4 linked regions of the Astyanax mexicanus genome follow. The protein of the gene in region 3 purifies or fractionates together with the protein of the main gene of each other region. This does not show direct contact. Links are inferred from orthologs where the notes say so. Each region holds a gene or a part of one and is shown on either strand. Other genes may lie near its edges.

Region 1 (7,478 bases), on a different chromosome or scaffold from region 3:
AAACTGGGCAGTGTTTTAACTGAGGTCACAATAGTTTAGTTTACCAAGAGCGATACATCATCACCACGCTTTAAACCAAACCGTCTGAAACAACTCAACGCACTTAATAAAGAGTACTGAAGAGTACTGAAAAGTAACTAGAAGCAATGAAAGAACTATAAATGGTCATTACTGTGTGTGTGAAGGAGTGCAGTATTACCTGCTGTTGGCCTCGTAGGCTGCGGGCGGCTCTTTTTGAGGAGGCTTCTGCTCTGGCTTCCCTTTGAAATAATTAACCAGCCCCCCCCAAACGCTCTTAATGGAGTTTATGTGTCTCTGACTAGTCCTCATGTCCTGCTCCATATTATCCACCATTCTTTCCGTCCTCTTTAATACCTCACCTTGACGAATCAACTCCTGAGAACAGAGAGACGGCGTGATTAAAAAAAAAAAAAAAAAACGTGACGAGCCATAAAACACTTCTGAGGCAAGACCTCCAACAATGAGCCCTGCCTGTGCTCCTACAGCAGGTCCAACTCAAATAACAGAAATATACTTAAAACACTTCCTGAATCAGAAGAATCTGCCCCTTTGATTCCATCCAACAAAATTGCTGATCCGAACAACCAATGATTTATAAAGAAAAATCATTAAAAACGTTTCATACCACTGTATCTGTATTAATTGTTTATAAAAGTTTTATTCTATATACTCTTGGTGTGAATAAGTGTAAATACCAGCAATATACTAGTGCGAATCACATCAACAAGTTTTGCACTAATAAATGCAAGTATTAGATGATTCTGTTACAGATTCTGCTAAAACAATCAAAAATACTGTATACAAGCAGATTAAGGCCAAACACTGTTTTAAATATTTCTAAACCTGTGTCACATGATTTACTAAGCAGGAATAATGCAAATAGCCAGGATGTGTGTGTGTGTGCTTTTTTCACTTGGTGAATCTTCACAAGATATACGCAGAAAAAATAAAAAAAAAATACTTTTCAGATTATCTCTCCAAATTTGCTCTGCGTTACATGAGAATTGAAAAAATTCCCTTAGACCCCCGAGGTTTAAGAACATCTCACCTCTGCTGTCTCTGTCCCAATCTTTTCTGATTCATAGATGAGGCCGAGAGAGCGATAGCTACTGTCCACCGCCGACTTCGCCGTTTGCATGACCTGCTGCTCCAGCTGCCGCTGCCGCCTCTCCGCAGGACTCAGCTTACTCTCCTCTTCTTCCTCATCGTCAAAATTAAAGCCCCTCCTCGGCCCTGCTGGTTCCTCTTCATCATCATCGGCAAATGGATTGTGGGATTTAGGATACGCCGCCATCCTCCGACCACAGCGGTGTTCTGTAAGCGACTGTGCAAGAAAAAAAAAAGTTTTCCTCGGCTGCACACTAATAACATGTTCTTTCACATCAGTTACCCTGTAAACAGCGTCACCCACAAAGCAGATAACCTTAACCCTCCGTTCTGAAACAGTTCACAGGGGTCGTGAGGGTGATTCTACTTAAGGGCTGTTTCTCTGCAAAATGTACAGACAATCATATCTAGACATTATAAAGAGTTTTCCTTTAACTGAATCAGACCCACTCATTAGACACTCTATACTTTATACATCTTAGCACAAACTGATTCAGATACATTAATGTAGGCTGTGGGCTTGCACATCCAAATTTGTTTAAAAATGTAGTTCTGTTTAGAATGTAGAATTGGAAGCAGTAATGTAAGAGATGATGTGCAAAAATGTCTATATGTCTAGAATATATATTTTTATCAGATTTTATCAGTTTGTCTCTTCCCATACAAACTGACAGAAGACTGGTCTTTCATCATTGAAAATAAGCACCCAGTCGTGTTGCAAAGATTTGTGAAATATTTCCAAAATACTTCCGTTCATTAAAAAGGTTAAGAACCCCTGCCATAAACCCAAAGCCTGTCCAACAGGAGAAGATGTAAAACATTTATTTTGAACAGACATTATTTAACAGGACTGGGACTGAAGACAGGATAAACCAGCTTCCTTCCTCTGCAGGGTGTAGTTGGCGATGTCAGCACTGTATACAGGTTTTAAAACATCCTGTTTCGTGAAAAATCTGTTGTTGCATCATAAAGAAAAAATGAATAAAGCTATGGTGGATAATCATTACAGTTGGCACACCAACACAACATTAATCAATTCTAGCTGATTGTTCTCCTCTAAATGTCCCGTTAGATAGTTAGTCTAGTGTTGTGATCAACTCAAAATATGCCTCAGTTTACTGGTTAGTCACTGGTTAGAAGTTGATGAGTTGTACATTTTCAAAGGACAAAACTTAAATAAAACAAGCACACCAATCTTGGATTCTGATGCATGTTTTTTATAACACCAGTATGATGTAAGCTAATCACAAATAATGTTGATGATTCATAGATTACACACACAGTGTACTTTATGGAATAATTAAGCATCTGGCCTTCTGTCACAAATCCTTTAATAAAGACTAAATTTATCAGTTAAATATAATATCAGCTGCTTATTATAGATAGCGTTATATACTGGATTTTTAGCTAGTTTAATAAAGCCTCATTAACTAGAACATCTTAGTAAAACGTGTAATTTAGTTAATAATAATCACGTGAATTACACGGAATGTAACGTTAGCTAGCGTTAGCTAACAGCTTAGCCTCGTGTCTGTTCGCTTATTATAACATTAAGTAACTTTTCTTACCGCCGGAAAATAAAAACAGCGATTATATTCTGCTGACTCAGTTAATGTGTAGCTTGAAACACATTAAAAGTGCTGTCATGAAATGAAAACAGCTAAAAGCCGCGGTTAGATATCAGCTATTAATAGCTCTTCTCTGGCAAATTAGCGTTAGCATTAGCTTAGCACCGCTGAGTTAACTCCGCTAACGCTCCCTAATCTAATCTAATGTAGATACTGTAGATGATGACGGGTTCTAGTAAATTAACCGCATGTTCAGTGACAGGCAGGTAGTTACAATATGATTATTTATCCATGTTAATATAAATAAATCACAAAAACGATCAATTCCAGACAACAGTAATCCAACAGCTGAATATCTGTGGGTTTAAATAACAGCTGTTAGCTTGCTATGCTAACCCTGTTAGCGAGGCTATGTTAGGTTACTGAAGTTACACCGAATAAACTAAACTAAATTTAAAAAACTCACCGATATAACAGAATAATGTCCTCCTGTAACTCAGCGATGCTGCTGCTGCTGCGGGTGTAACGGAGTTCGGCGCGCCCCCACTGCGCTGTCCCGCTCACTGAGGGGTGCTGTATCCCGCTGTGTTCCCAGGAGGATCAGGTGACCCTAAACTTCCTCTTTCTGACTCGCCGTAATGACGTCACACCCGCGCCACAAACGCTCGGGTACTGTGATGATAATAATAATAATAATAATAATAATAATAATAATAATAATAATAATAATAATAATAATAATAATAAAAGTCTATTTTAATTATATGATGTTTTATGACAGCTGGTATTTAATTTGATGCATTGCTGCCACCTTCAGTATTTCCACATGTATCACTAAACATATTAAAAGTTAGAAGTTGAGAGGTGTGTAGTGATGAACTCTGAAGCTCTGAAATTTCACGGTACCACAGTGCTGGAGTTCACGGAGCTCCTGAGAGAGACCCGTTCTTTGCAGTGAAGGTGTATGGAAATAATTATTATATCACGTCATCATTTCAGACGCAGTGTAATGTAGAGAAAACACACAGTCTGTTTCCATATAATAATTTATTTAAACATCTCAGGCTGTATCCATCCAAAAACAGTGCAGGATAGAAAAGATTCAGAAAAATGACAAACATGTAAACGAGTGTACAAATATTAAAATCACTTCACAATCTGTTCAACACTGAGGCACATACTGTAAACAAGCTGTGATTGGTTAAATAGGACCTCGGGCTGATCTGGTTCTGATTGGTGTGTATCTAACAAATTTTCACAGGCTGAAATAGTCTGTAATTCTCACCCAGCAGGGCAGGATGGAGTATTTCTAAAACCTTAAAAAAATTTATATGATTTTATTAATCACTGATTTAAAGACCTTCAGTCTTGGTGAACAATGGTTCACAACTGAACACAAACTTAGTGCAGTTAGCAAGTTACAAAGCCATCAGTCAGATATGATGCACAGTATTTTATAGACATATCAATGTACATATTTTTATATTTAAATTAATGTAAATCTCTTATTAATTATATTTAGTGCTCGTATTTTAGAAAAAGCAATTTCAATCTCGAAAGAGAAGCAAGAAACTGGGATTTCTTACAGCAAGACTCAAATGCCAGGTGTCATCATAGCAAGTGCACAGAAAACAGCATTCAGTGATCAATCGTATGTTTTGAGACTTTAAAGAGATGAAAGCTACAAACTCTTGATAAGTCTGTAATGTTGAGGCATAATAAACTTCAGTGGGTAGCACTTTATTTCACAGTATGTGAGTAATTACTATTTAATAGGTAAATAGTAAGAAGCAACGCAATGGTAACTACTAGTACTGGCAACTGATGCTCTGTGATTAATTAATATTTCTTAATCATTTTCATCACTTTTATTATTATTATATTTTATATTTTACATATTATATTTTAGCACAAATCTCTTCTTATATATTTTCTGCACTGGCGTTTTTTAAGTCAAAAAATGACCGATTAGCCCATTAGCTAACGGGCAATGCTAACTTTTCCGAGCTGAATTAATGGCTCATGTTTGATAACAGATAAATGGAGCTGTGCTGGTTTTGGGGTTTGATAACAGATTAAATAGTAACTGTTCTCTTATTGTCTTATTCAGAATGTAGATACAGTATATACTAGTGAATTTGAATATTTAACGTGTATGAAGCATGTGTCCTAAAACCTGGCAGCTGGTAGTTTTACTAGTAGTTACCACTGCCTTACTAAAGTACCGTAAAATCACTAGTATTGTTACCTTTAACTTATTTACATATTACATACTAGTCACTTACCATACTGTAGAATAAAGTGCTGCCCTTTACTGCGCTGTTTTTCTCACACACTGAAGCCATGCAGTTAACAGTACATCAGCAGGGCAGCGCGGTTTCAACCAATAACCATTTTAACCATTTCTCTCTACAAGTCTACATGAGGCACATTTTATTTTTTTTATGTAAAAAGTTGTCAAAATGAAAAAAAAAAAAGAATATCTGAAAGGGAGAAATGGTTCATATATGGATATTCATTTGAAGAACTCAATAAAAGATTAAAAACTTGCAAGTGCATTACAGGCGTATAAAGTGCAGAGAGTACTGAACAAACAGGCAATCAAAATTCCACAACAAGGGAGGCAAACATGTTAAAACTAGGGGTGGGATCACAGGGCATCTCACGATACAATATCACGATACACTGCCCACAATAACGATAAGATCACGATACTGTGATTCTGTGATAGTCGATAAATCACAACACAATTCTATGATCTTTCACATCGTCTGTGTTTCTGAAGAGAATAAAATACTCCTAAATAATCAAATACCAGGAATTATAGATTTATTGGTTCAGTTTTACACAATTTAGCAACCGATATTCTTCACTGAAGGTTTTGTTAACCCTATTCATTAGATTATAGCGCCACCATGTGGAATGAAGCAGTAACTTTAGTAACTCCTCTAATTGAGGGCGGGGCTTAGGGGGTTTAGAGCGCCTGTTTCAATAAATAAAAAAAAAAACATATTTGATGAATAATGTATCGCAAACAAAACAATAGAATATATTGATTTTGATATTTTGTCCCACCCCTATTTAACACTGTGCATTAACACTCTATGTGCGCACACACACACACACACACACACACAGATGTAACAGTTCTTCCATAAAACATACATGAGATTTTAGTAAGGGTCCAGCTGTAACTGTACTGTCGGCTGTCAGCTCAGTACGGGATTTGGTTCTGGTAATACTGGATCATATCATAGGTTTTACTCCTAAAAAAAACAAGAATAAAACACATTATACTGTGTTTGTACTGCTGTACATCATTCTTCTCATTTTCAGGTTCAGTTCTTGTGAGAGAGAGTAGCACAACTCCATTAAATCAGACGGGTTAGTTTGCTCCCTCTTGATGTGGTTCGTTTTGACAGGTGTGAAAACAGTAATGGCGCTCACAGTTTTGTGATGACTCTGTAATGTGCTTTGAAAATGTTTAATAAAGTTTATTTTAAAAAGAATACCACTCCGGTGTGGATCAATACAGTCGAACCGAGACCCGTGAGAGGAGGTAGTCTTGGTCCGGTTCTAAACAGTTTGTTTGTGGTGGGAATGTGATTTAGCTTTGATCTTGTTTAAGCTGAACGGCTGTTTAAGTGCAGTTTAACCTGATATATTATGCAGATAATTATTACAGCTATTAACTAACACTGTCTCTGCTGCTCCTCAGTGATAAGAAGTTTTCACACTGAACTCCATTTTCTGATGCGACTGCTGAAGATTTACGCAATAAATAAAAACAAAAGTCTGCGTCCTGTCTCACTGTAATCAAACAATTAGCAGAGACATCATCACATGAATTTCCGTTTTCCATGTGTGAAACCAAATCAAACCAAACCAAACCAACTTTCAAACTAAACGACCTTCTTAACTAACTTTAAGTGTAAAAAAAAACCTGTGTGAGACCGACCTGCTGCTGAGAAAGCAGTTCTGGATGACTTTAATCATGAAGGCCGCTGCTTCCTTCTCACTCATGCTGGGGTTAAATCGCTGCCTGTAAGCAAACACACACAAACATGGGTTTCTTTAATAATTAATTTCTGATTTTACCCTCTTTTCTCCAATTACACAATCTCCAGTCATATGAACTTCCCCTCTGCCTCCTCAGACTCCACCTCTTTTTTCCCCGGCTGCTGATGTCTGGCAGCTGGATTCTGCACTGGAACAGTGACCCTCAGGTCTGACAGTGCATTTATCCACTACACCAACCGGAGCCCCCTCACAAACGACTTTTCCTTAAACACAAATACACTAAGTTGTTGTTTATGTGCAGTAGATTAATTTACTTCAGCAGTTTGATGGTTTGACCACGGAAACACGGAAGACCGGTGTCTAACATGAGCGTCACCAAGGAGACCACAGCATCCATATACGGCCTGTAGAGAAACACACAGCGTTTCAGCACAAATTCACTCATTATAAACAAGCAAACAAGTAAACACAGCGTGTACATCTCTCACCTGACGGCCAGGTAGCCCCGCACACACATCTCCATAAACCATTTGAAGGGTGTGGCTTCCATCTTTCCTCCCATGATCATCACCATCTCATCAGTCAGCTTAATGTCCGGCTCCCAGCCCAGGTTTCCTCCAGGAGAACTCTCAAACATGAAGCCAAAGTCTGGAGAACACACGCACGCACGCACACACACACACGGTCAGGATGATCACAGACAGTTGGCTGTGGAATATTTAGCATTTAAATTTTATGACTGGACTTGTTGCACAGGTGCTG
Region 2 (8,442 bases), on a different chromosome or scaffold from region 3:
AATATTACATACTTAGGCTATGACTAATCCCTGTGCAAGTTCACATGAAAGCATGACAAACAGCTGATCTCATGAAACAGGGGATTCGTCAAGTGGCTGCTGACAGGAACAGTATTTATAGGCCCTGTTTAATGTAATTTATCACTCATCCAGGATGTAGTCAATCAGCCATGACATGTTAAGTATCTGATGTTTGTTTCTTTAATTTACAACAGAGGAGATGCTTCGCTAACATTACACATTACGGTCAAAATCTAATTTCCATAAACAGATTCCACAATTTCTATACATTGACTTACATGTTTCAGAGAACTATTCCTCTAACCCAAAGTTTGGGGCAGTGAGAGAGAAAATACAGGGTTAGGTCAAACTGAAACCTGCCTTATGAGAGACTACAATTCGATCTTTAGCCTTAATCTTGCTTAACATTATTTCATATACGTGCTCACACACTTCCGCATTGTTAAAGTGCAAATATTGCAACACAATATTGTGTTCTATAGCCACATAAACAATTTTCTTCCCACTTAACAAAACAAAACCAAACAAACAGTTACACTGCACAACACGTTGCTTTACATCCACCCTTTCACATTCACACTGCAGTACAACAATTATCAGCTCCTCACCAGCTGACGCACTCAGCCCCACTTTACACCACACCATTATATGCATTCCTCTGGCATGTCAAACGTGACTATTACACGCTCCTCAGCAGCAGCCAGGGAGCTGCAGTAATATGGGGCAGTAATGACAGAGCAGTAACAGAGTCAATCAAGTGCCCAAGACACCAGCTAAAACTCAGCACTGGTGCGGGAGAGTCAATGTTGTTGTCCTTAGTGCTGACAATGTATGCTGGTAACTGCATCATGCTAGAGGCAGACTGCAGGTAGAAGCTCAGGAGCTACAAATCAGTAGATGGGATGGTGCAGAGAGAAGGTGATCAGATGAGAGTGGGGACAGAAAGACAGAGGGACATTCCTGGAAAGAGAGCAGCTGTGGGGTATGACAGCAGCTGCCATTCTGCCCCCTCTTCCCTATGGGGCAGATGGGAGCTTCATAAGCAAGGCCAAGGCTCCACTGATCTTCAATAACCTGACTGTCATTAAGAGATGTTATATCAAAAGACAATGGGATGACAGCTTAATAAAATATGGTTTTACATAGTGAAAACAAAAGAGATATAGAAATATAAGAAATATAGAAACACTGCTTCCAATAGACAGGGTTGGAGAAATTAGTTATTTGCACTGGTATGTAGTGTGAACAGCTTGTAATTTTGTAAAGTGAAGACATATAGTAAAAACTCATTTGCGAATGTGTTTAAAGACATTTCTCTTGTTTTTATTCCATTGTGATTTAAGTGTGTATTTTTTTACTTAAATAAGAAAGAATTTTAATTGGCATTAGAGTCAGACTGATAAATAATATTCTACTAAAAGATTGGTAAACCAGATGTGCCATTATGGTCTTTTCACCTAAAAATGAGCTGATTTTGCAAAAGTCTTGTTCCAAAAAAAAATGATAACAGGATACTGAAGCCATAACAAGCCATGGTACATTCAATTTCAGCAATTAATATACTGTTTATCAATTGTTATAGTATACATGCCATTATAAGTGAATGTGGCAGACAATAAACTACCGAAACGTGACATTTTTCTCAAGTTTACTTAAGAATTAATTTAAGTTACGGTAGCTAACCTAGTTAATGGTAGCTAACCTATAGTAAAGTTTTGTGCTAAGGTTAGCTATCCAGCTAACTGTCTATGATGTGACAGAATAAGCAAATGTTTCTTAAATTATATGACGTTTTCAACAACAAATTATATCATGCATAATTAACTTTAGAATCATATTTAATGGATGTAACGACCAGGATGTAAACTCCGGTTAAAGACAGTGTCAATGACAGCTAGCTAGCGTTAGCGTTAACTGTCTAGTTTCAGTATTACTAACGCTACTAGCTACGATAGCTAATGCTAGCTAGCTAGGTTACGATGTAGATCGTCTACAGCAGCTAGCCTTAGCCAACTTACCTAGCTGAGCTAACTATTTATCTAGGTACTTAGTTATTTTTCGCCACCGTTATTGTGCAGTTATAGGCCAGGCATTTCTGATAAATGTCCCGCTTTGACATTTATAATCTAACGCTATATAACTAATTGAGTCGGGATACGCAACAGAGGTATGCTAGCTAGCTAAAATTAGCCAACTAGCTAGCTTGTTAACCTTAGCATTCTGAATAGTTACGCTTTTGACTGGATTAGCAGGTTAGCTAGAAGACTACGCAATGTGTGTTCATAACGAGTAGCTTACATGTTATATAGACTATATAGTAGCTAATTTATTAGACAGGTGAAAGGATAAATAATGTTAATGCTAATGTTACGTGGCTAGCGCGGATGCTAACAACAAGCAGAGCCCGATATATAAAACTCGCCATTACATTAGCCTGTAGCTAACCCCGTTTAACCAGTCAGCCGGCTAACTAACAGCTACAGAGTTTTCTGAAATAGTTAAACACAACTGCAGCCGCCTTATATACGGTCTAATGTTGGTGAATATGATGGACTCTTCATGTTAATATATGTTAAGGCCCTGGTCACTTTCTGGCCGAGGTTTGCAGGCCGTTTCTCCGTTTGTTTGTTGGCCCAGCAGCCGTGCTCTGTGTCTCTCCGCTCAGCGCCAGCTCGCTTCAGCCCACTAGACACAATGTTAACTAGCGCTAGCTAGATCCCAACAACGCCTTGATCCATGCATTTCAACCTACCTGGCGCACTGCAGTCGGCACACACCTCGCTCCTTTGGACTTTTCTGGACATGATAAACGCCAAATATACGGCGAGGCTTTACGAGATAATTTAAATATTCCAATCCAGTATCGGGGATGTTCGACGCTCCAGTTTAGCGACGACTGCAGCCTTGATGCCGCCCCTGAATGTCCGGAAGCCGGCGAAGAGCTTTCCAGGGCTCCCGGTCCTCACCCTTCTTCTCGCTCACGTCTTTTTTTCCTCCGTGTCCTCCCTCTGCTCCCACAGCAAGGAGTTTACGCTTCGTTAAAACCACACAAACACTCCCTTTTCCCGTTTGAATGAGAGTTAAATCACTCTCATAGGCTGTATAGAATATAATTTGGGGATTTTCCTCTATCCCACATTTATGTAGGTATTAGCCTGTTCTATCCAAGCCCCATATCCAGAGGCAAGCGGAGGGAAAAGACACGGAAACAACGTTTTATTTACATCCTGCACCCCACACACATTTGTAGGCTGTGGCAGGCTGCATACCGTCTCCCTCTGACGTCCTACTCTCTCGCCCCTAGTGTCAGCACATGGTGGGGTAGCAAGGAGGCAGCACACACATACTGTACAGATACGGTGGGCTTCAGGCTACTGTTTATGGGTTTAAACATGACTAATATAAAGCCTATAGCCCATAGGTTACTAGAAAAATCAGAAAATCAAGAGAATATTCCCTTTTTAATTTTTCCTAAAATTCTAGATGGAAAATTGGATGACAATCCATTATTCTTCACTGTACTGAATGACAAAAAATGAAATAGTTTTGAAAGTTTTACATTCTAATTCTATCTTTTCAATGTAAAATAAATTTTACCTTGAAATTGTCAAAATCCCCCAGTGAGCAAGACGACAGTGACAAGTAAAAACTCCCTTAAAGCTGGAGGAAGAAACCTTAGAAGAAAAAAAATAAGGGGGCCCATCCTCCTTTAGTCAATATGGACTGTATTTAGAGATAATCAGGTCAAGACTGAGATCATCTGGGGTTGTAAACAAATGTGTAGGATGGGACCACCCGCAATGCAGAGCGAAATGGTAATGAGGTGGTAATGACTGTGATAGGTTGCGATTGGCTAGAACTCACATCTACATGAAATGAACCAGTCTACATGAATGATTTTGGCATGTCATTGTATATAACTTATAGCTATCTAGATTGAACATCTAACTGGTCTTTGTTTTACATAGGAGTTAAATAAAAATAATGTAATATATCAATTTAAAGAACTTATAATAACTAATGTAATGATCTTAGAATAGTTTATAAGGGTCTAAAATCAATAAGGGGTAATAATAAAAAAGCCATCCATGTAAATGTCAGTGCAAACAGCTTTCTATCTCTCCTGCTTAGTATACAGAAAATCAATTAAAAGATCCCCTTCTTCAAAATCTAACACTGCCTGATAGCTGATAGCTTACTTGTATATCTGCTTATATGTGTTTAAGGCATTAGATGAAAACCTGGAATAATCCAATTTGTACATGATATAGGATGAGGCTGCAGAATCTCTACAATAATAGAAGAATATTGAATAATATTTCTTAAAATACTCTTTATATCACTTGAGCTATCAATGAATTCAATGCTCTAACAATAAAAAAACATTATCTGTGAAGGCCACAGGACTGTAAAATAAGCTTCTGCCTCTCTTCAACATTCTGTCGTGACTAGTCAGGCATTTATATGTTCTGAAAAAGTGTTTTTAAAAGGATTGCTAAAAGTATGGAGTGGATTTTTCTCCCCTAAAACAACAACCTTACACCTACTCTTTTTTTTTGTTACAAAATCGCCTACTCCACATTTATCTTCAGGGTTAACGTTACACATATATTCCATTTGTATTTCATGATGTTCTTTGGTTATGGGGGCTATAAACAGCTGTCTACATTTGCCTACTGCAAAGACCACCACCTGATTCAGAGTGGTTTAATACAAAATGCTTAATTCTGAAGAAATGAAGTCACAAACAATAGTGGTAATAGGAACCTAAACAATAGTCAGCTGAAACACTGAAATGGTCTTAATTTGCACTCAAAGAAGGTTTTTGCCATAAACTGATTGTTTCAGTGTAAAAAATAGTCCTCAAAAACTATTATTAGATAATAGTCCTCAAAAACTCACTATAAAAGACAACAAGAGAATAGTGGGCCATTGTTGGACATCCACATTCAATTCAATTCAATTCAATAAAGGCTTACCAATGTTACTGAACATGCAAACAATTGTAAAATATCCAATATTAGTGTTCTTTTTGTACATTAATTGTACTAGTATCTACAAACATCCTATGTTATTTAGCATAAAAGATATGAAAAATAAAAATCCATTTAAAAAACCTATCTAGCAGTGAGCTGTTGATACCATGGGAATTTCTGCACATTTTGTTGCCTCAGTTACAGAAATCTTTATCTCAATGGTCCATTCTGAGATGGCATGGACAGCAAGGCATCAAGTCAACTAGTTCCAGTTTTAGACACAGCCTCCTTAAATGTGAAGATGAAGTTGAGTGATGCATTAATCTGGTAGGGAATTTCACCTGAAAAGAAAAAAAAAGTGCTTCAAATAGTGACTTTATGTGAAACAATAAAATTGACCATAAGGTCTACAAAATGTTAAATGAGTGAAAAAATTAGGTCAATGAGGATTTGTATCTGTTTGTTGGTCTCAGAAATACATTTTCTTCATCACTGAGCACCTAAAAAAGGAGATGGAGTTTAATTTGAAATGCTGTGTTATCCATTTTATCCATCCAATTCTACAAAGGTCTGGGTCATTCTCGGTCAGGTATTGCTCAAATTAAGTGTTGCCTGGTCAAGTGTCTGATCAATCATCCACTGGAAAAGGTTCAGGGGAATAGCTGCTGCAATTAAGACAAGCAAGGAGGTCAGCTGCAGACACCAATGTTTAGAGGAACATCTAGAAACAGAGCTGGATTTTGAGGATGACTGACTCAACCTCAGGTCACATATTCTACACTTTACTGTGACAGAGCTGGTGACACCCATATCAGCACATTAAACCCCTCTCTTCATTAAGGGTTTAGATGAGCAGCCCAAAGGCTTAGGTGGGATCAAAAAATCCACCTCACCACTTTTCAACAGACCATTTCTTTGTTTTAATCTACTCTCCTGGCAGTCTAGTAGTTTTAGGCTATCCCTAGTTACTGGGAATCACTTATGCACTGGGGAATTGACTCAGCATCTTTCTTTTCATGTCATTCTGCAATCTTCAAGAGCCAGTAAGGATTTTTTTCATATTAAGGATGCTTTGTCTGATTTTCTTGACAGCATCACAACTCCCTTCACATAGCACATGGGTCTGTATTGATTTTCCTTTAACCGCCTTCCCTTCCAAAGGTATTCTGTATTATGTTTAGGTCATGGAGAGTGACATTAAAAAGCTAATGAACCTATGCTGTTATTTGTCCATCCAGGTTTCATATTATAAAAAAATGGACCCCTGAGAATATGTATTTATCACAGTGTTGTGAATGCTATTTAAAAGTGAAGTATTGGCAGTTGTTTCAATTAAGTCTGCAAATTGAAAGTGAATTTTGAAAGTTGGAAGTTGAAGTTGAAATCTGTCGTTTGGACTGTAATTTTGTGTATTCTGTCTCTGTCTCCTTTTTACTGCTTTTGATTTTTTGCTAAAGTGAGCAGGTGGTTTATTAAAAAAGACACAGTTTATACACACAGTACATTCAGGTAGTTCTCCGGGCACTGCTATCTTGAAATAAAGTCACAATAAATTGACTGAAAAGCATAGCTGGATAGGTAAGATAGTGTTTTTTTTTTTTGCATGAGCAACGTTATGCCACTATCGCTAGCTATTTTGAGCCTGTTGGAGCATTGGCTAAAAGTGCTTTATTTTAGAGTGCTGGGGGTGAAAGGAGATGGGCTATTTGGCAAAAGTTTGTACTCATTATCATGTTTCACTTCACCCCAAGTCAATTTGAGAACTTATTAAATAAAGGTTGTTTTAAGCCCTGTCCGGACAGGATTAGTTTTTTAGGTGGATGTCTATGAAAAATATTTCACACTTCTACTCAAAACTTCTGGGACCACCACAGGAGGACGAGTGAGTTTTTTGGCTTTCTCGTTCACATGACATCGCGTTAAGTAGCTCCTGCGTTTCCACTTGCTGTTGTGTTAACATGGTTCTCTGTGAAACCGTGCGCACAAAGTGTAATTACAGTGAGTAGAAGTGGATAAATAGCTATTTTATTAAATGCGAGGTGACGAAACTCAGAGATGTGCATCCGGACAGGACTAAAATTACCAGAGGATCACGTTGATCAGCAAAAAAATGTAAGGTAATTCAGCCAGAACCATGTAAACACGACTGTGAGTGGAAATGGAGGAGCTACTGAACGCAATGTCATGTGAACGAGAAAGCCAAAAAACCTCATGGTCCTTCATGGTCCTAAAATCGCAGAGGACCCCCAAAAAAAGAGAAAATTACCCCAGGACCCCCTGAGAAAATAATCCTATCTGGATAGGTCTTTAGGGTTTTTTTTTTCATCATCAGCTGGATAGGTAAGATAGTGTTTTTTTTTTTTTTGCATGAGCAACGTTATGCCACTATCGCTAGCTATTTTGAGCCTGTTGGAGCATTGGCTAAAAGTGCTTTATTTTAGAGTGCTGGGGGTGAAAGGAGATGGGCTATTTGGCAAAAGTTTGTACTCATTATCATGTTTCACTTCACCCCAAGTCAATTTGAGAACTTATTAAATAAAGGTTGTTTTAAGCCCTGTCCGGACAGGATTAGTTTTTTAGGTGGATGTCTATGAAAAATATTTCACACTTCTACTCAAAACTTCTGGGACCACCACAGGAGGACGAGTGAGTTTTTTGGCTTTCTCGTTCACATGACATCGCGTTAAGTAGCTCCTGCGTTTCCACTTGCTGTTGTGTTAACATGGTTCTCTGTGAAACCGTGCGCACAAAGTGTAATTACAGTGAGTAGAAGTGGATAAATAGCTATTTTATTAAATGCGAGGTGACGAAACTCAGAGATGTGCATCCGGACAGGACTAAAATTACCAGAGGATCACGTTGATCAGCAAAAAAATGTAAGGTAATTCAGCCAGAACCATGTAAACACGACTGTGAGTGGAAATGGAGGAGCTACTGAACGCAATGTCATGTGAACGAGAAAGCCAAAAAACCTCATGGTCCTTCATGGTCCTAAAATCGCAGAGGACCCCCAAAAAAAGAGAAAATTACCCCAGGACCCCCTGAGAAAATAATCCTATCTGGATAGGTCTTTAGGGGTTTTTTTTCATCATCAACCTTAGAAGAAATAATGCAAGCAAAAAAGTATGTTTATTCAGTGTTCTTTGCTATTAGAGTTTGAATAATAAGGTACATTTTGTATTGGATTAGCTTAATCACTGTATGGTAAATGTATGCCCCTTAGAGTTCTCCTTTAAAGCGATTAGTGCTTATTAGTGATGCTTGGAGAACGGATATCTTTGACCAATCAGCTTTTTGGGCTCTCCCTGCATATTTGAATACGCACTCTGGTGGAAGGACGCAGTGAGAGAGTGAGAGAGAGAGAGGGAGGGATGGAGGCAGAGAGGTGGAGAGAGAGAGAAAGAGAGAGAGAGCATCTATCTATCGCATGATCACTAAAAGGAAG
Region 3 (7,303 bases):
TTCAGTAATGTGTCATTTTAGAAATGCTTAGAATCCAGTATTTTAGGAATCAGGGAGTTATGTTTAGATCTGTTGAGTTTACTGACCAAACTGGAATCTACTAAATCTAAACCACTACTTGAAGAGTAGGAAAGTTGGAGTTAAGAAGAGGGAGGACTTAATCCATGCTCATTTAGTTGAGAGTCTATTTTGTTGAAGTTAAAGTTAATCCTAAATCATGTTAAATGTCGTAAATCGATGGGTTTTATAATAAACAGCAATAAACAAAAAAGTGGGGAAACACTAAAAAGAATTATGCCGGTGTGAACCCAGCAAAACAGCAAAAGATGCTTGAGATGGAAAAATAAGGAAAAAGAAGTAAATATATATATAAAATTAATACCTGGAACCCAGTTAAGAGGAGCACACACTGCATTACTGGCGCTTATCCTGTGCGCATACTTAATTATTTCCTCTGAAGAGATGCTGCCTGCAAAATAAACACAAACAAATTATTATTAAACCAAACATTTAATCAGAGCTACACAATCATTAATTCAGAGGAAGTGTGAGCAGAGACTCTTCATTTACTGATCACAAACGAGACGGATAATCAACAGCTAATCAGTATTTATATTAAACAAACTAGTCCAGTGAAAGGGAGATAAAACTGTGATGTTATAAAAGTGTTCATCATAAAAATAATACACTGATTGATATCGCCTATGACTTTTCTCACACTATTAAATGATATGTTGACCTGCAGGATCCTGTATACGTGTGGGATCTCCTGCACTGAATGTGGATGTGATTTCTGAGGCGCTTCTCTGTTTGCACTGATAATTCCGGTCACTGTGCTGTCTACTGTAGGTGGTAATGGCTTCTATGGCCTAGATAGAGATTGTGGAATGTTTAACATCCACTCACTTTGTCTCATCACTGAGCACATGGGCCAGTGTCCAACCTCACCCACAAGATAGCACCTCACAACGTGTACATGCAGGAATTCCCAAGTAATCCTCTAAAGTAACTCCTCAAGATTAATATCTATACTGCTGTCCCATTAATTTAGGCATGTTACTGTATTTTATTACACAGTGTTAATATTACAGTGGTGTGTGTGTGTGTGTGTGTGTGTGTGTGTGTGTGTGTGTGTTCCTGCTGTGTTCAAACTGAATTTTAGTACCTTTTCTGGCCTTTTCGATGGACTTGAGCTTCTCTTTGGCCTGGTAAACAGCCGTCGCCTGGAGGAGAGAAGATATTCAATTTTATATAAACCCTGATATAATATAAATATAATATAAAGATAAATAAAGAAATGTTTAATGTCTGTGTTTTTAGCAGTCAAAAAAAAAGCTCCACAGATAAAAGAACCTAAATGTAGTACCAAAAAGTTTTAGTTTGTTTAACACTGTTTTTAAGTTACTACATGATTCCTCGTGTGTTCCTTCATAGACTAATAGATCACTTCACTATTTATTTAAAATAAGAATATTAAACAAGAACATCACTACTGAAGATCAGCCTCACCAGGATGTGCTCGGCCTCTTTCAGCTGTTTCTGCAGCAGCTGAATGTCACTGTCTCTCTTTTCTGCTTCTTTCTCCAGCTGCTGCATCTCCTGATGGATCCTGCCCTGTTCCACCGCCGTCTGCATCAGCTCCTGAAACTCCTTATCCCTCTGAACCAGCAGCTCCAGCACCTGCGTATACACCACCAATATATAAACCATATATAAACACAATCTGACAAAGCACAAAAAACTGCTGCTAAACACAATAAACATAATTACTAATATTTACAAAACAGGAGAAAATTATATAAGCAAATATTTTAATATGATGTTTATGGAATATAGAATATGCTGACTTTTATGCAAATCATCAGTTCATTTAAGATTTTTAATAAATGTGTGAGATTTCTAATTTCCTATTCATTTAAATATATGTTCATCTAAAAGTTAATGATTAAAGTTTAATATCATAACATTTTCCACAAACTACAGCATCCCAGAATCAAACCTAAAATAAATATCTGTAAAGTGCATTAATCAAACTTTAATTTTCACACGAGACACACACTGTACCTGAGTGTCCTCTCCGGGCTGCGGGAGCTTCTGGGTTCGGGACAGAGCGAGCATCTCTATCAGCTCTCTGCAGAAACAAACACAAAAAAACACAGATATTATACAACAGCAGGTTTTTCCCTTTTGGGTCTGAACTTATACTCTTTCTTACAGGGTAGAATTTCATAAATAATTTTCCAACAAAAGTCCAGCATTATAAAACATGATAAGTATACACTTTTGCAAGTACATAAACTTTGTAATTTTCAGTGAATTTATTAGTATCTGATCTGTTCATATAAATTAAAAGTGGTGCCCGATAAACAAAAACAAAGATTAATGTTGTGAAGCCTGCACACGCAAAGAGGGCCTTCAATTAAAAATGGCAAAAAAAATAAAATAAAATAAAAAAGAATCAAAGAGCGAAACCATCAAACTCAAACAGAAACAGAACTCTGTTAAAATCTTAAAATCTAGCCTGATTAACGAATCGACTAAGCTGATTTACATTAAAGCCAGAACAGCTGCTGTACTGATGGGAAGCTTTTATTCATTCATTCATTTTATTTATTTATGAGGGACAAAAAAAACTAATAATCGATTTACTAATTATTTTATTATTTTACAATAGTTTATAAGTTATTTATATATTATATAAATTCTTTTTTATTTCTTTTAATTCTGAAAAATAGAATACAAGCAGTCAGTAACAGAACCGCTCAACTAGAATTTCTTTTCTACCCGTATTCAGACAGGTCCCGCCCCCTGCCTGCTCTCATTGGGCAACAGACCGGCGGAATATTTGATGACAGCGCTACCAACCAATCGAGGCTATGAGACATAAACGCCACCAGCCAATCAGAGCAGAGGTGTGTGAAAACAGGCGGGATGAGCAGAAGTGCTGATCAGTAAACAGTCCCGCGCGCTCTCTGTGTCTCTCAGAGCGGAATAAATAATCACACATCTGATAAATAATCAATAATCCCTCAGATTAATTTCGTATTATCACTCACCGCGATAAAACCTCCATATCACTGAGCGCAGAGAGCAGCTTCTCCTTAGTGCTCCTCTCCCCCGCCGCCATCGCGCTCATTTCCCCTCACACTGAGAGAGAGAGGAGGAGGGGGGGGGGGGGTAATAGAGCTTTAATCACAGCGCCCCCGCGCGGAGGGAGGATCTTTTGGTGTTGCTAAGAGTCACGAGGTTCAGCGGAGCCAGCCAATCAGACAACAGGTATGGAGAGAAACACCACCTTAATATTTTTGGGATGTAAAAGAAAAAAATAGAATTGCACTGAAAGAAAATTCCTTATTTTATTGTTTTTTTTTTCTAAGAACAATTCTATTTGAAAAAAGAAATAAAAAAGAAAGAACTAGAAAAGATGTCTAGTGAGGGGAGAATTTTTATTTTATTTTTGTATAGTGGCTGCTCCTTTTTAACCTGAAAAATATTTATTTTCCTAATGTTAAGGCAAACTTTGATTTCAAGTCAAGTCAAGTCAATTTATTTATAGGCACATTTAAAAGACATCAAGTGTTGTACAATAAAACAAAACAAGATTTAAAAGAAAGCAAATCAGTGGTAAAACTATTAAAAAAAACAGTTTTTAACTGTTCTATTGTTTCTAAAAAAAATGTTGATTGTGATAATAAAGTATTTTGTTGCCCACCTCTAACGTTCACATTACCAGGCTGAAGTGACTCACATCTGACTTATGTGGCTCAGATCTGATTTTTTCATGGCTGTGTGAATGTGCCAAATCTGATTTTTTCAAATCAGATTTGATTCACCTTCATATGTAATCCTAAATCAGATACGTATCCACGCATGCAACATGCAACATGAATGTGAACGGTCAAATCTGAATTCATTCGTCTTTTTGCTTTTATGCATTAGCATTAGCGCTACGTGTTTCTCTCTCGTACCCACACTGCATCTCTTGGTGCAGCTGTGCAGTTATAGCTGCAAAAATAAAACAGCAAAAGCAAACTACCTGTCCTTTTTTCACCTCCTGGACCTGAGCATGAACTTCAGAGCAGCTGTTTACTCTCCACTACAGCAAAAGATGCTCCACATATATATAGAGGTTGACTGATTGATATGAAGAATAAATAACTATAAAAAACTCTTTCTGACTGGAATCATCTTAACATTTATATAACACATATCTTACAGATCACTGTAAATCTTGATTGACAAAAAAAACACATTTACAGAAAATAAATTGTTTTATTAAATGTATTAAATGTTTTAATCATCTGAACCTAGATGCTATGTGTACAGAACACAAAACAGAGTATAGATTTCACAGCAGTACTAAATTTTATGGTGACACAGTGGCAAAAAACTCCCTTTAAGAGGAAGAAACCTTGGAAGGAACCAAGACTCAGTCCGTGGAACCCATCCTACTCGGGTTGACCCGCTCAGTACAAACAAACAACAAACAACAAACAGAACAAAAACAGTACAGAGAATTAATGTGAACTATGGCTAATATAACAGGTACTAATTTATGAATATAAGAATGTGATGGGCACAAACTATAGAGCTATGGCTAATACAGAAACAGATACTGAGTGTGTTAATGGTAATCAGTGCAGGGCTGCAGAGCCGGAGAACAACACAGCGGGCAGTGGAGAGCCAGGCTGGGAACATCAGGAACAGCATCTCCATACATGTAAAAGAGATAGATAGAGAAAACAGAAAGGAAAGGAAGAGAAACAAAAAGCAGGAGTTAGAAAGGCTGTGTAATAATTCTGATGAGTAGAAGGACAGGGCTGATTCCTGAAAGCTGGAACCACAGACGGACACATCCAGGAAGACCGGCCGGCCAGGCGTCTCAGCACATGTGAGAAAGATAGAGAGAGAGAACAGAGAGGGGAGGGAAGAAAAAGGGGTTAGAATGGTTTTATAAAACTCTGCTGGAGTGGGATGGGCACTGGTAGCAGCAGCTCAGGACATGGGGAGAGAAAGAGAAAGCAGATGATTAGGACAGGGTTTATATTTGCTGGATAAGCTGTAAGAGGAAGAAAATTGTAATGAGACATTACTCAAAAGCTTGAGCAAATAGAAATGTTTTGAGTCTAGATTTAAAGATTGAGAGTGTGTCTGAGTCTCGTATATTAATAGGGAGGCTATTCCAAAGTTGGGGAGCTTTATAAAAGAACGCTCTTCCTCCTGCATAGTTTTTTCTAATACGCGGGACTAATAACATGCCAGCGTCTTGAGAGCGGAGTGAACGCGGCGGATTGTAAGGAGTAAGGAGTTCCTGTAGATAATGCGGGGCCAGACCATTGAGGGATTTATACGTCAGGAGAAGTATTTTATAATCTATATGAAATTTAACAGGTAGCCAGTGTAGGGATGAAAGAATAGGTGTAATGTGACCGAACTTTCTAGCTCTGGTAAGCACTCTTGCGGCTGCATTCTGAACTAGCTGGAGTTTATGGAGTAATTTATGTGGACTTCCAGCCAACAACGCGTTGCAGTAGTCCAGCCTGGAGGTTATGAATGCATGTACCAGCTTCTCAGCATCTTCCAGAGAGAGTATACTGCGGATTTTAGCTATATTTCTTAAGTGGAAGAATGCAATTTTGACTATGCTACATATGTGAGCATCAAACGAAAGAATTGGGTCAAAGATGACCCCAAGGTTTCTCACAGTTTTACCAGGTATAATTAAGTGACCGTCTATGTCTACAGTATTAACATTTATGTTTTTATCAATATTAGGACCTAATAGAAGGACCTCAGTTTTATCAGAATTAAGTAAGAGAAAGTTGTGTGTCATCCAATTTTTAATGTCTTTAATACAGTCTGTTATTTGATTTGTACAGAGCTCCTCGTTGGGTTTAGCAGATATGTAAAGTTGCGTGTCATCAGCATAGCAGTGAAAGTTAATACCATGCCTACGGATAATTTTACCCAGTGGTAGCATATAAAGAGTAAAGAGTAATGGACCCAGTATTGATCCTTGAGGGACACCATATTTTACTCTAGACTGATAAGAGCATTCGTTATTTAAGTAAACACACTGGAATCGATCTCTCAGATAAGATCTGAACCAGGTGAGGGCTGATCCTTTAATTCCTATAAGATTTTCTAACCTATCAAGTAGAATAGCGTGATCTATGGTGTCAAAGGCAGCACTTAGATCTAGCAGTACAAGGATGGCATTACTGCCCCTATCAAGAGCTGAAAGTAAATCATTAGTTACTCTAAGTAGAGTTGTTTCAGTACTATGGTTTTGTCTAAATCCAGATTGAAAAACCTCATGCATACTATTACTTTGTAGATACAAGCGCAGCTGGTTAAACACAATTTTTTCTAGGATTTTGGCTATAAAGGAAAGATTAGAAATTAGTCTATAATTAGCAAGCTCGCGGGGGTCCAGATTTGGCTTTTTGATAATGGGCTTAATGACCGCCAATTTAAGAGAATTGGGTACGTAGCCCATGCTAAGGGATGAATTTACTATTTCTAGTAATGATTTTCCCACCTTTGGCAGTGCCTGTTTCAATAATTGTGTGGGTACTGGATCTAATATACATGATGTTGATTTTGATGAGTTAATTACACTAAGTAAATCTTTTTCTGTAACCGGGCTGAAACACTCTAGGTGTGTCTCAGAGCTGGAGCAGCATTCATTAATATCTATAAGTAAATTTTGGGGGTGATACTGAATTTTTTGTCTAATGCTATTAATTTTATCATCAAAGAACTTCATGAAATCATTACTATTAATGTCGACAGGGATAACGGAGCTAGTTTGTTTTTGACTGCCGGTGAGTTTAGCCACAGTAGTGAAAAGGAATCTAGGATTGTCTCTATTTTTCTCAATAAGCGATGAAATATACTGGGATTTTGTTTTAATTAGGGCTTTTTTGTAGTCTGTGAGACTATGCTGCCATGCTAGCCGGAAAAATTCTAGTTTTGTGTGTCGCCATTTACGTTCAAAGTTACGAGCGGTTTGTTTTAATGTACGTGTGTGGTCATTATACCACGGTGCTAGCTTTTTATCCCTGATTTGTTTTATTTTTGTCGGCGCTACGCGGTCAAGGTTAGAGCGGAGCACAGTTTGTAGATTTTCTGTTTTGTGCTCGAGATCATGCTCATAGGACGGAAGGGAGATGGTTAAGTCGGGGAGATTATTTACAAATTCATTAGCAATTGCGGTTGTTATTTTACGCTTGCTGATATAGCGGGGCGGGAGGAGGATATTTTGATTAAAAACTATTTCAAACATAATTAGATAATGATC
Region 4 (7,297 bases), on a different chromosome or scaffold from region 3:
AAGTTTCCCCTGACAACTGGACATTTATTTGTTGTAGTTGTCCTTAACTATATTCATTAATTATAGTGATATTTATACTGATGCTTCTGTGGACTTCATATCATCCAGCAACAGTAGAGCCAATAATTAGAACTGGCTGTTCTTTGCAATCATCATACCAAATGAACACCTGTGAACATTATTTGATTCTGTCAAACAGTATAAATATTTTTAGGTTTAAGACTCTGATACAGATGCAGATACTTATTCACCAGTGGTAAACTTACCCTAAACCTTTCTTCCAACAGTGACAACTCACTGATGAGGTCAGTGATAGCATTTGTGAAAGCTTCCTGAGGACTGTAATCTGGTGTTGTCTGCACACGGATCACAATCTTGTGCTCCAGTGGATGGGGCACTTTATACCCAGCAAACAGCACCTGAGGGTCCTTCAGTAGCTGTCTGTTAAACAGAAGGAAAACAGAAATATAATGCATTAAAAAAAAAAAAAAAAACAGAACAGAAACAAAATTGGTAATTAGGACATCTAGACACAGTGTGTATACACTAGGGTTGCAACGGTATGAGATTTTCACGGTATGATAACCGTCTCAGAAAATACCGCGGTATCACGGTTATCACGGTATCACAGTTTGTTACATATATTATTAAACTGACCCTTAAAGAAATTACAATAAAGGTTTTTGTTCAATTAACTATTTATTGTAGAAACCTGGAACAACTATATAGATAATGTCTCCTTAAAAAAAATAAACTGTACACCATTAGGTAAAGGAAACCAGGTTTTTCCACTACTCTTAAGGTCATTAAGGGTGTATATAATTATATATATATATATATATATATACACACACACACACACACACACACACAAACACAGGTGTCACACATTACATGTCCTCTAAGAAGTAAAGATCCTGTGTTTAAACTATTCAGTACAATTATTTAAGTTTAAATTATTTAATATCTGATAAACTGAGCCTGGGTCAGTGTCTGATCAACAACTGTTGTAAACGTCCGTTTTACTGCCAAGTTGGTATATAACCAGATAGAGGGGATTTATTTCTGAGTCTGGTTTTAACACATGAAAAACAGGCACGTCAGAATTTGAAAATTAACGCATGTAAATGAATGGCGTCTTTCACATCCAGTCCGGCGAGCACCTTTACACGGACACGTGAATCCGTCGTAGCACGCACTTCACGCCTGTACCTGCGTGCCCAAATTTCGGATAACTCAGCGCTTTTGCGGGCGCTTACCGCATGGGTTGTGCACGACTACAAAGAGATTTTATTTATGTTCAGATTAAAATTATAAACTAAACACATACTTTGCGCTGCACGGCGGGGTGGTGTTCTTGGAGATGGGAGAACAGGTTTGACGTATGTCCACCTTTAGCTGTGACTTTACGGCCACATTGATTATAAATCGGAAAACCATCCTCGGGTGCGTTCGGCGGGTCTCTGAAATAGTCCCACACTGCTGATTTTAGTTTAGCCTTTTTTTAGGCGGATGGAGATTTGTTTAGTCTGATGCACTTTCTGCCGTTCTCACCGCTGTGTGCTGAGCAGCTGAAGCGGAGCAGAGTTGCGCATGCGCGGGTGAGTTTCTCCGCTGGCTTGCGTTTTACCGGTAATAAGCAAACACACACGGTATGATAACCGTGCATTTTAATACCATGGTATACCGTGAAACCGGTTACCGCTGCAACCCTAGTATACACACCAAATCTTTAGGACAATAAAGTGATTCTTACGATCTGATGATGTTGCCCAGTGTATGGTCTTCTTTGTTCAATGTAAACAAACAGGCATTTGGCACCTTGGTATCCTTTGTAATTGTAATCCTTTAATAAAAAAAATATTACAATACTTACAGGTCAAATCATATAAAACAACAGGAAAGATAAAATAAATATATACATGAACTAGAAACAAGTGATGTACAATTTAAAAATATATACCGTACAAGTAAAACATCTGAACACACCTCTTTTTATTAATGCGTTTTATTCCTTTTCATGACTTTCACATTGTAAATGTTAATATTAAAGACATTAAAATAAACAGGAACACATGCAAAATGATTTTGTATTTATTCACATTTAGCTTTGATGACAGATTTTGCACACACTATGTGTCTTCATGAGGTAGAGTCACCTGTAATAGTTTTCTCAGCATCTTGAAGGAGTTTCTAAGGATGCTGAACAATAGTTGCTGCTTTTCCTTCAGTTCATCCCAAACCACCCATCTCAGTTGAATCTCGCAGTAAATGTGTAAGGAGTGGAGTAATAAAGTAATGCTGCAAGCACTAAATTAGCCTACAGTTAGTGCACAATAGAAATGAGTTAACTGAAGTTTCACTACATTGTGTGTAAACTGGTTGTGAAGAAGGAGAAAATAATTGATTTATTTCCTGTGTGTGATGAATGTATGTATGTATGTATACACAGCTCTAGGAAAAAAAAATAAAGAGACCACTTAAAATGATGAGTTTCTTTGATTTTACCAAATTGAAAACCTCTGGAATATAATCAAGAGGAAGATGGATGATCACAAGCCATCAAACCAAACTGAACTGCTTGATTTTTTGCACTTTTTTTTGAGGACTGGAATAAAGTTATCCAAAAGCAGACTGTTGGAGGGGAACATGCCATTATGCATAAAAACTGTAATTAAAAACCAGGCTTATTGCACCATATATTCGTTTCTGAACTCTTTAACACTTAATAATATGGACGTGTTTACTTTGCATTATTTGAGTTTTAAGAGCTCGGAAACGTTTTTTGTTATTTCAGCCATTTCTCATTGTCTGCAATAAATACTGTAAATGACAATATTTTAATTTGGAATTTGGAAGAAATGGTGGCCGTAGTTTATAGAAAAAAACAACAATGTTGATTTTACTCATATAACTTACTTATTAATATTAAAAATTGAGAAACTTAGGGGAAAAACAGGAAACATATCAGACTAAGTTCATTTACACCACAAAAATGGGGGCAATTCAGTTAAACTCAAAGATGTTTCACAAAATACCCTTTTCCCCAGATGCTAACCTAGCTATCTGGCTCTTCAGCTAACTATAACCTAGATAGGGAAAGTAAGGCCCGGTAACGTGGTAAGTAGCATTAGCTAAAGAGGATAGGCAGTCTTACACTACACAGGTCTCATAAACTTACTTTTTCTCCCCCTCAAACAACAGAAACGACTCGAAGGCCGGCGGAGCGTTCATCTTCCCTGTGAGTGAGAGCTAAGTGCTAATCTCTTAGCCGCGCTTTGGGTTCACACATCCTGCGCAACGTGATATGGGTAACGCCCTTCAAAATAAAAGGTTATATAGAATAAATATAGCATTAAACAAATAATTTCACTGAAGTGAACAAAGAACATACTTCTAATACATATTAATGTTATTTATTCATGTATTTATTATTACATGTATTGTATATTTTTATCATCACTGGAACAAAATTCAGGTCTAAAATGGTTAGACCTGCAGAGGACAGTGAAGCTTTTTTTTATTAGTCAATCGATTAAAATGAAAAATCCAATTAATCACAATAGAATTCTGCAATTAATCATGATAAATCACAATTTTTCTTCCTTAAGACTAAGCTTTTGATAATAGGTATTTAAATATGAATACAAAATCAGTGTCAGAAACACTTATTGGTGCCAATACCTTTATAATAATTGTATTAATTATTAATTAACTGGATTTTAGGGAAGGGGACAGTAATAATAATTATGTTGGTGGTGGAGTACACTTTACTGTATTATAATATATGCGGGTAGTTTTGGTGTTTTTAAAACTAGAATATTGTAAATTTCTGTAAAGTTCTATTGTAAGCTTTATTTTATGTTTAAACTTAATAAAACATAAAATAAAAAATCTACACAGATTTCTCTCCTGAAAACTGTTTACTGCGGCGCAGTAAACTCCCAGACCAATCACGGAATGGCATACTACTATACTGCGTACTGCATACTGCACTAGTATGTACTGCATACTACACACTGCCCAGTATGTAGTATTCGGTAATGTAACACTTTTGATTGTAGTACCCTACGCGGTCCTGCTGTGACACACCAGTCAGTGCTCTGTAGTGCTCTGAATTCCTCAGAGTGAGTTACAGAAACAACATGAAAAATGTCCTACCTTTTCATTATTAAAACTAATGAGATCTGCATACTGTCCAGAACAGCAATTGCTGCTTTTACTTTAGAGTTTAATGTAAGTGCAGTTAACCCAATTCTAACAACCATTTAGCAGCAGCCCCCACAACCCAAGTATGTTCCAGTTAAATATGTTTTCCTATTTATTTTAGTAAATTGCTATTTTCATCTATGTAAATACCAACAAGAAGAACACATTTAAACAAACTCTCATTCATATTTACACAATCTCAACAATAAAAGAAATGAGACATGTTGCACAAGTGAAACAATTTTATTAATTTGTATTCAAATCATTCCCTTATTTCAAAGAAAAATATGTATTAAAACTGAGGGAATTATTTATTAAATCAACAGAACGATTTATTAAGAAGGGAATTATTTATTAAATTAACAGAACGATTTATTGGAATTATTTATTTAAGTAACAAATGTATTAAACCTGAGGGAATTATTTATTAAAGTAACAAAATAATTTATTAAAACTGAGGGAATTATTTATTAAAGTAACAAAATATTAAAACTGAGGGAGTTATTTATTAAAAGAACAGAACAATCTATTGGAATTATTTATTAAATAAAGAGAACGATTTATTAAAACTAAGGTAATTATTTATTAAAGTAACAGAATAATTTATTTAAACTGAGGGAAACATTTATTAAAATAACAGAATAATTTATTAAAACTGAGGCAATTATTTATTAAAATAACAGAATAATTTATTAAAACTGAGGCAATTATTTATTAAAATAACAGAATAATTTATTAAAACTGAGGGAATTACATCAAGGCAGCACACAGCGGAGGGTCCCGGCCGCGGAAAGCGCTCGGCCGCGGCAGCGGAAGGTCCCGGCCGCGGAGAACGCGCGGCCACGGCAGCGGAGGGTCCCCGACGCCGAGAACGCGCGGCCGCGTCAGCGGAGGGTCCCGGATATAAGTGTGAAAGATATAATCAGATATGTTCAAAGTTTATTTTTGCCAAATACCAAGAGAATTAAACAAAGTTCCTGGGAGTAGTTTGACAACATACGAAAAAATGTGTGTAAAATGCAGATATTTTAAAATGGCCGACATCCTATTGGGTGGAGTCAGTCCTACCAATACTAAAAACGTATGTAATGCAGCCTCTTGTGTTTTTGCCAAGATTCATGAATTTTCAAGCATCTGTGTTCTGACCGTGTCATTGTTTCACTTTGGTTTATTGTTGCGTCTCTAGTAGATCATTTGCCCAACATTTTGTTACTGTTTCTCCGATCAATAATCCTTTTGGAATTTTTAATCAATTTAAATGAGTTCGTGAAAATTTGTAAAAATATTACAAATTCCAATATGGTCGACTTCCTGTTGGGCGGAGCTATTACAAGCAAATGGGAAATATGTGCAGGATCATAGGATCTATGTTCCTCTTAAAATTTGAAAAAAAAAAATGAAAAAATTAGAAAATTTTTGACACATCCACAGCATAAATTAGCTTTACTTTAAAAAAAGCTTTTACTTTTTCAAATTGAACCAATTAGGGGGCGCTGTAAAGTCCGCTAGCTACACATGAAAAAATTATCCATTAAAAATTAAGTCCCAGCACGCAACTGTATTACCCAGCAACACTAGTTTTAGTTGTCAAACCTCTGAAATCCACTGATTTTTCTATTCACCTCCTATAAAACATGCTGTCTGTTATGGTTCATGCTTTAAATTTGTTTTTTTGTATTTATAGCACCCTCTGCTGACCACTTTTATAATACTTGTTATTTGGATGTTTATTTGGATGTTAATTTTATCATTGGTTGTTGAGTCACATGGTTTTTGGTCACATGCTTAGAACGACCATTTTCTTTCAAACTAGTAAGAGAGGCGCATGTGTTAAGTCCTCTTGTGTATCCAGCTTCATCTTCCTGTGTAACCCTCTAAAGAAGCTTTGTTTGTAAGTAGATTTGTTCATTTAGGCTATTACTACGGTGGCTGAGAAAGCCCAACGCAGTGCAAATTGAAAAGCGCTGCAAAAGCACAAAACACATCCATCAAAATTACAACACAGGCGCAGCAAATAGAAAAACGCGCTGCAAAAAGAAAAACGCGCTGCAAATAGAAAAACGCGCTGCAAATAGAACCACAACACAACGGAAGTGAGTCACAACACAACGGAATTTTCCCGGGGGACCTTAAAAGATGCTGTACCAGCTAAGCTGCGTCTTCAGTAACGTCTCGGACTTCACTATGTGTACAAAGGACAATACGTGGCAAACAAGGCGTTTTGTGAAGCAGAACTTTTAATAATATGCACACAACCGTGGTAATCACAGGTAATAAACATTACTTACTTTTCAGAAGCTTGTTTGCCACTTAAGTTACTGTCCTTTGTATACAGCTGGTACAGCATCTTTTAAGGTCCCCCGGGAAAATTCCGTTGTGTTGTGACTCACTTCCGTTGTGTTGTGGTTCTATTTGCAGCGCGTTTTTCTATTTGCAGCGCGTTTTTCTTTTTGCAGCGCGTTTTTCTATTTGCTGCGCCTGTGTTGTAATTTTGATGGATGTGTTTTGTGCTTTTGCAGCGCTTTTCAATTTGCACTGCGTTGGGCTTTCTCGGCCACCGTATATTACTTACTATTTGTGCTTATTATTTAATTGGAACTGAAGGTATTCTTTGTGTATTTCATTTCAGTTTCACACTTTCTGTATGGAAGTACTCAGCTTCATTAAACGGACAAGATTACTTCATGCTCCTTCATCACTGAAGTTTGGTGCTTTATTCAAGTTTGCTCGAGTGTTTAGCTATCTGGTGATGTGTGCCTTGCTACGCACTCAGGTGCCAGAATACTGTCAGTGGCTGAAAGAAATATATTTTTCTTTATAATGTTACTTTAATTAAAGAGTTATGTGTCCTGAATCAGAATATAATAATAAAGTCCCAGCGCAAAACTGTATTACCCAGCAACACTAGTTTAAGTTCAGTCAAACCTCTGAAATCGACTGATTTCTACTATTCACCTCATATAAAACATGCTGTCAGTGGCTGAAAGAAATATATTTTTCTTTATAATGTTACTTTTATTAAAGAGTTATGTGTCCTGTGTCAGAATATATTGATTAAAGTGCCAGCGCAAAACTGTATTACCCAGCA

Evidence for each region.
Region 1: the proteins of med4 (region 3) and snap29 purify together in Homo sapiens (affinity purification with mass spectrometry; 3 studies listed by BioGRID and IntAct, with this or other methods). This does not show direct contact. The link is inferred for Astyanax mexicanus from reciprocal best matches to the Homo sapiens genes MED4 and SNAP29.
Region 2: the proteins of med4 (region 3) and git1 purify together in Homo sapiens (affinity purification with mass spectrometry; 3 studies listed by BioGRID and IntAct, with this or other methods). This does not show direct contact. The link is inferred for Astyanax mexicanus from reciprocal best matches to the Homo sapiens genes MED4 and GIT1.
Region 4: the proteins of med4 (region 3) and polr2j purify together in Homo sapiens (affinity purification with mass spectrometry; 3 studies listed by BioGRID and IntAct, with this or other methods). This does not show direct contact. The link is inferred for Astyanax mexicanus from reciprocal best matches to the Homo sapiens genes MED4 and POLR2J.

Annotation. Positions count from the first base shown.
Region 1 is NC_064419.1:75,741-83,218, reverse strand, and holds the start of snap29 (synaptosomal-associated protein 29), read right to left. Parts: upstream 3,310-7,478; 5' UTR 3,163-3,309; intron 1,346-3,162; 5' UTR 1,316-1,345; coding exon 1,070-1,315; intron 397-1,069; coding exon 200-396; intron 1-199. UniProt on the Homo sapiens protein: SNAREs, soluble N-ethylmaleimide-sensitive factor-attachment protein receptors, are essential proteins for fusion of cellular membranes.
Region 2 is NC_064425.1:19,365,979-19,374,420, reverse strand, and holds the start of git1 (ARF GTPase-activating protein GIT1), read right to left. Parts: upstream 3,310-8,442; 5' UTR 2,826-3,309; coding exon 2,774-2,825; intron 1-2,773. UniProt on the Homo sapiens protein: GTPase-activating protein for ADP ribosylation factor family members, including ARF1.
Region 3 is NC_064418.1:243,288-250,590, forward strand, and holds the start of med4 (mediator of RNA polymerase II transcription subunit 4), read right to left. Parts: upstream 3,166-7,303; 5' UTR 3,137-3,165; coding exon 3,057-3,136; intron 2,132-3,056; coding exon 2,065-2,131; intron 1,681-2,064; coding exon 1,510-1,680; intron 1,224-1,509; coding exon 1,166-1,223; intron 470-1,165; coding exon 383-469; intron 1-382. UniProt on the Homo sapiens protein: Component of the Mediator complex, a coactivator involved in the regulated transcription of nearly all RNA polymerase II-dependent genes.
Region 4 is NC_064408.1:29,549,965-29,557,261, reverse strand, and holds the start of polr2j (DNA-directed RNA polymerase II subunit RPB11-a), read right to left. Parts: upstream 3,310-7,297; 5' UTR 3,235-3,309; coding exon 3,182-3,234; intron 1,847-3,181; coding exon 1,757-1,846; intron 442-1,756; coding exon 267-441; intron 1-266. UniProt on the Homo sapiens protein: Core component of RNA polymerase II (Pol II), a DNA-dependent RNA polymerase which synthesizes mRNA precursors and many functional non-coding RNAs using the four ribonucleoside triphosphates as substrates.